Linked DNA regions of Xenopus tropicalis. The protein of the gene in region 1 purifies or fractionates together with the protein of each later gene. This does not show direct contact. Links are inferred from orthologs where the notes say so. Each region holds a gene or a part of one and is shown on either strand. Other genes may lie near its edges.

Region 1 (2,538 bases):
TTTAATTACTTTGAAACACTTTAATTTTTTGATGTTACTGTTCCTTTAATGGTGAAGACACACAGAGCTACTTAGTAGCAGCTACTAAATGCTAGAAAATACCCTGTCACAGGCATTACTGAGGATAAATAAAACCCCCAAAACCACAGGTAAAGACAATTATCAGTAAATGATCAACATGGTCTACTTTAGCAGTCGTGACTAGTAGCCCCATGTGCCTTTACCCTAATAGTTTTGGGTTTAGTGGTGAGAACTTCCCCCTTTTTTGCTACAAGTATATTCACCAGCTGGTTAGAGACTATTTAACTACTCACACATAAACCTATTCCCCCCCCCCCCCCCCCACGGCCACGTGACAAACTGAGCTTTAGTGACTCGGTAGATGAAGGCTGGCAGCCAGGCTATTCTGCAGAACTACAATATGTATTATCAGATCACCCTCTGCTGGAGGCAACGGGTATTACAACCAGATCCACTAGTGCAGAGCACACAGATTCCAATAGGAATTCCTTACCCACTGATACCACAGACAGCTTCTTTCCAATTGGTCAGCTTTGAATGAAACAGTTTTTTTTTTTAAGAAGACTTTTAATTAAGATCAGGAGTAAGTGCTGTCTCTTCCCTACAGAAGGAAGCACTGGGAGTGGCATCTGTTTGGCCAGTGAAGAGGTCAGTGCATTGGATCCATGAGCCACCTTGTGAGTAGGCTTCAGCCGGTCAGTATTCTTTAGAGAAGAACTCCTTGCTGTCCTTTACATTGGGCTTGATGGTGCTGCTGCCGGGCTTCCATCCTGCAGGACATACTGGAAACAGAAGGGATTGCATTTAATCTGATTTTACATGGGCACACCATATGCCAATGTCCTTGTACTGCCACCTATGCCCCACCATAGGAAACTACCTATTCAAGGGGAAGTTAACCTTTTAGTATGTTGTAGAATGTCCTATTCGTAACTTTTTAACCTTTGTCAGGCTACAATTTAGTTATTGTTCCTTTTTATTCCTTATCTTTCTATTTAGTCCCACCACTATTCCTATTGGTCTCTCATTTCAACCACTGGTTGCTAGGTTACTTTGGACCCTAGCAACCAGATAGATGCTGAATTTCTTAACTGTAGAGCCACAGATCAAAAGAAAATACTCCAAAATTTGCAAAAAAAAAAAAAAAAAAGTAAGCTCAGACTTGCCCATTCCTTACCCTCGCCATGTTGATCCGTGTACTGGAATGCCTGCACCAGGCGCAAGGTCTCCTCCACAGAGCGGCCAACAGGAAGGTCATTAATGGTTATCTGGCGAAGGTTTCCTTTTCCATCAATAATGAAGAGCCCTCTGAAACACAAGCCTTCATTCAGTAATGCACGTGGCACCTCTGGTTATAGGGAAAAGGGGTAAAACGAGCCTCACCCACCTGTAGGCAACTCCATCCTCTTCCTTCAGGACACCATAGTCCTTTGCAATAGAATGAGTCAGATCAGACACCAGGGGTATGTTAATGGGCCCCAAACCGCCTTCTTTACGGGGTACATTGGTCCTGGAATATAATAGTGCATTCATATCTGTTATAGGTCCACCTTAACCTCTTTCAATCCCCTCTTTCCTAATATAACACCTAAATGTTTCAGATAACTGCACCCACTCTAAACCACACCCAGCTTCGATAAACCTCATTCATTCTTTACTGCTGCGCTGCAAGTTGGAGTATGTCACCCCCCCATCCCAGTAAATCAGCATTGTCTTTTAGTAGCCATGGCAAGTAGCTGCTACTAGTAGTCTCTTCACCTTTAACCTTAATTAGCTTGTACAGTAAAGGGTATATTATATACATTATATTAATAGTATATACACAGTAGGCACTTGTTTATAAGTCACTGTACCATTATTTACAATTCCAGATCCTAAATACATTATGCAGTGGGGGCAGAAGAAATGGGGTTCTGGAATGCATTACATTCAGAGAGAGACAGGGGCACCCAAAATAAATGAAATACAGTGAAAAGCAGTATTCCTGAAGGCTAGAAAGGATTTCAGCATTGTAGAAGTTCACATTGCTCACTAGCCCCACCTAATGGTGCACATGAGAATGGCACCCAGCAGGAGAAACCGTTTTGCTAGTATGACTTTGGTCATATTGAAAGTACATTGAGCAGAAGAAATAGGTTACCTGAAAGCAGTTCTAATGTGTAGCGTTGTGTACAGTAGACACAAAGCCCACTCCCATTTTAAGCCACTCGTTATGGTTCTAAAACATCTGCACTATTGCAGTTTTTTGGGTGGGGAGTGTGACCCAGTGCTGGGAAGATAAGATGTTATGCTCCATGCAGATTAGAGGCCTCTATTCCTCAAGGGTTTTTGCCGACTTTTTGCTGTTTTTTTACTGTGTTAGGGTTAATTGTTATGAGCTAAATACAATGCTATGTGCAGTATGAGGGCATTATAGTGCGATTTATTCAGGCCCGGACTGGCAATCTGTGGGTTCAGGCAAATGCCAGAGGGGCTGCTGTAAGGTGCCATAGTCACTCACCATTTATTGGGCCTATG
Region 2 (4,096 bases), on another chromosome or scaffold:
GCTGCTGTGTCAGCCGAAACGTTAGTCCTTGCTAATAAATATTTTTTGTTTTCATAAGACCTGTGAGTGCGGCATTTATACATACTATACAGATGCTTTGCTATCCTGCACCCAGGCATTATTTATGCTATCCTGCTACCCAGGGGCCCCCACACCCCCTCTGGCACCCCCACCGGCTACTCATCTAAGGCTAGCCCCTCCAGTGCCAGGGTCCGACTGCTACCCAGGGGTCCCCTCACCCCCTCTGGCACCCCCACCGGCTACTCATCTAAGGCTAGCCCCCCCCCCCAGTGCAACTTATACTTACTTTTTCCACGATCAGCAGGGGGAGGGCAGCGAGGGAGCAATAGGGGAGGGCAGCCAGGGATCGGGATAGTTTGGCGGAGCCTGGGGCTTTTCCAAGAAACAGACATAGGGGCACATTTACTAAAATGCGCTTTTTTCTGGCCTTGAAATGCAAAGTAAACACGATAATTTCTGTAGTTCTAAAATGTCTCGACAAAGCTTTTATCGTTTGTGCAAAAATATCGCAATTGCGTTCTGAAAGTTTGTAAACGCCACAAAAACAGTTTTTGAAGCCCCCATAGGACTCAATGGCACTTGACAAACCTGGCAACGTCCCAAAGTGTAACCATAGCGATAATGAATTCCAAAATGTTCATATTCTGTGCACAAAATACGACTTTTTCATGGAAATTTTACCGAAAACCATGAAAAACCATGAAACTGACTTTTTCCCATACATTCCAAAATGTTCTATAAAAATACGAATTTATCTCAAAATTGTTTAGTAAATGGGCCCCATAGTGTCAGTAGCACTGCTCAGTAAGGAAATCTTTTTTTTAAATACTTTATTTTGTATTTATTTTGAAGTAACAGGTGGGTTTGGAGAAGTTCAGCATTAATGTAAATCCGCCCATTAACACTTCTGCTACAGTTTCAAGTCAAAACCCAAGAATAAAAAGGGATAAGCAGATACTGCCTTAGCAATTGCATTTACAAATAACGTTAAAAGCACTGAAACTGTGCAAATAAATGTTGTTAATTAAAATGATATTTTTATTGATTATACAACCAAGAATAAAGATTTGGGCGGAGTCAGAGCTTACAGGCAGCCCGCGGGTCACGTGGTTGAGGGAGCAGCCCATTGGCTCAGCTGCTGGGGCGGTGGGGCCTAAAGCGCCGCTTTTATTGGTTGGAGGAATCACGTGGTACGTTTGTGTCACTAGTTGTCTCTCAAGGTGCGCGGCTCCGCTTTCTCCGCTGTCCGGTCTCGGTAGCTGCAGTCATGGTGCGGGCGGTGTGTGTGCTGGCGGGAAGCGGCGACGTGAAGGGGGTGGTGCACTTCCAGCAACAGGCGAGTATTGTAGCGTGGCTTTAGGCATTGTGCCTTATGCGCTTACCCTTACTGGGCCTGTCCTGTGCCTTCAGCTGCTAGTGTTCCTGCAGCCTGCGCCATCTGTGCAATTCCAACCAGCCTTTCCCCTTAGGCAGTATGAGATGCACAGTGCATGCTGGGAGGCGGTTGGGTTGGCAGTGCATGCTGGGAGGCGGTTGGGTTGGCAGTGCATGCTGGGAGGCGGTTGGGTTGGCAGTGCATGCTGGGAGGCGGTTGGGTTGGCAGTGCATGCTGGGAGGCGGTTGGGTTGGCAGTGCATGCTGGGAGGCGGTTGGGTTGGCAGTGCATGCTGGGAGGCGGTTGGGTTGGCAGTGCATGCTGGGAGGCGGTTGGGTTGGCAGTGCATGCTGGGAGGCGGTTGGGTTGGCAGTGCATGCTGGGAGGCGGTTGGGTTGGCAGTGCATGCTGGGAGGCGGTTGGGTTGGCAGTGCATGCTGGGAGGCGGTTGGGTTGGCAGTGCATGCTGGGAGGCGGTTGGGTTGGCAGTGCATGCTGGGAGGCGGTTGGGTTGGCAGTGCATGCTGGGAGGCGGTTGGGTTGGCAGTGCATGCTGGGAGGCGGTTGGGTTGGCAGTGCATGCTGGGAGGCGGTTGGGTTGGCAGTGCATGCTGGGAGGCGGTTGGGTTGGCAGTGCATGCTGGGAGGCGGTTGGGTTGGCAGTGCATGCTGGGAGGCGGTTGGGTTGGCAGTGCATGCTGGGAGGCGGTTGGGTTGGCAGTGCATGCTGGGAGGCGGTTGGGTTGGCAGTGCATGCTGGGAGGCGGTTGGGTTGGCAGTGCATGCTGGGAGGCGGTTGGGTTGGCAGTGCATGCTGGGAGGCGGTTGGGTTGGCAGTGCATGCTGGGAGGCGGTTGGGTTGGCAGTGCATGCTGGGAGGCGGTTGGGTTGGCAGTGCATGCTGGGAGGCGGAGGGACAGTCCCATAGGAGGGTATTTCTGCATTGCCAGTATAGGTGTGGGGGGGTCTTGTCTCTGTCCTAGACTTTTACTGGTGGGAACAAATCATTTCCACATAAGCTGTGGCCCCTGTGCCACTTCCACGGTCTCTCCTACACACAGCGCTTGTTATAGGGCCCCGGGGTGTGAGCGCCACTCGGTGAGGGATATGTAACTCCCCGCAGCCCACTGACCGCTATATCATGAATGACAGTTGATGGGAGTTGTATAATAACAGAGGGCTGTAAGTGGGATGCACACGTTAGTCTCCCCCCCCCCCCCCTCTCACTCTCTCTCTCCTCTCCCAGGCCTCTTGCCTTTAGCTCTGTACCTAGTGTCCCACCCCCACAGCACAGAATCCAGGGGGGAAAGTCCATGTTGCGCTGTAGGGAAATCCCACAGAATCATTTAGTTTGCTGCTTAGTGCCCTGCAAAAATACCTTCCAGAACAAGTAGGTGCTGGGAGTTGTAGTTTCATACAGCCTGTGGTGCCAGTTGTGCCCATGTCTGCTGTCCTTATACACATGCATTGTTACCAGTGCCCCATGCCCTGCCGGAGCCGTTCCTGCCATGTAGTAGATGAGGAATGGGTGCCCTGCATAACTCCAGGGAATTGAAACCAGTGCCCCAGGGCTTTGCCCAGTGCTGCTATTGGTTACAATGAACACAAAGAGCATGCAGGGAGTTATAGTTTAGTTATACAGGAGAGTCACAGGTTGATGTTGTGACCCGCTGTTCTGGTTGGTGTGTCACGTGCCGCCCTTTCACCCCAGACTGTGTGTTTGCAGTGAGGCCCAGGCTGCATGACGTGCCAGCGGGCCGGCTATCACTGGGCTAAGCTGCGGCTCTCAGCGAGGGGAAGTCGGGTCAGAGCGGCCATCTGTTGTGTGGGTGTGAGGGCCGGGGGCTCGCTGCTTTGTGGCCATGTGGCATGGGGATTATACATGTTGGCAAAGCCACTCTTGGTTATCTCCTTGTAATTAGCCTGCTGGGCAGGCAGGTTGAGGCTGTGCCAGTTAGTGCAATTGTGCCAGGGGGGCCCTGATGCAGCACAAGCCCTCACTGTTTATGCCCAGGGCACACACTCACCATTAGCCACATTGTGCAGTCATTCACTGTCTGTAGAGCAGTGTTGGGCCCAGGGACTCCGCTAGATGCGGTTGAACTACAACTCCCACTATCTGACTGCATCTGGGCTCTTTGCAATAGAAGCAGCCAGTGTGGCAGAATGCCAGGCAGATAGGGCACAATGCCAGGCAGTTAGGGCACTGCTGTGTAAGTGTGACTCAGCACTTTGGGACTGGAACGTCGAGCTTTGTTTTGCAATAACAGCCATTTGCTCCGGCGTTTCATTGGCTGCAGCAGTGCCAGCGGTGTCTGAGACGGGCAGTGTTGGACTGCAGCTCCCACAATCCCACAGATAAGTCAGCTTAAAAATGAACCCGAGGTCAGGAATCTTCTCTGTGGCTCTGATTGGTTTCCCATTCTGTAGGCGGGCCATATGCCATTAACCCCTCAGGTGCTGGCACTTTTTGATCCATCTGCTGCATGAGTGGCCAGTAACATGGGCTGTGTTTAAAAAGACAAGTTGAATCTGTGGCACTGGCACGATATGCGGATTTGCCCACATGTGCAGCGTTATTACATTCAGTCGTCTAGAGCTTTAATAGTCATGTGACTCAGGGTAGGGGTTCAGTTAGAGCCTGCGCCTCGCTGAATCCAAATGCTGTAGCCATATATATCCCATAGCTCCGCTATCCTA

The links. Proteins that work in one complex are often made in the same cells at the same time.
Region 2: the proteins of prdx2 (region 1) and sod1 fractionate together in Homo sapiens (co-fractionation; 3 studies listed by BioGRID, with this or other methods). This does not show direct contact. The link is inferred for Xenopus tropicalis from reciprocal best matches to the Homo sapiens genes PRDX2 and SOD1.

The regions. Positions count from the first base shown.
Region 1 is NC_030679.2:140,340,490-140,343,027, reverse strand, and holds the end of prdx2 (peroxiredoxin-2), read right to left. Parts: intron 1,532-2,538; coding exon 1,409-1,531; intron 1,330-1,408; coding exon 1,199-1,329; intron 804-1,198; coding exon 718-803; 3' UTR 568-717; downstream 1-567.
Region 2 is NC_030678.2:15,648,516-15,652,611, reverse strand, and holds the start of sod1 (superoxide dismutase [Cu-Zn]), read left to right. Parts: upstream 1-1,272; 5' UTR 1,273-1,288; coding exon 1,289-1,357; intron 1,358-4,096. UniProt on the Homo sapiens protein: Destroys radicals which are normally produced within the cells and which are toxic to biological systems.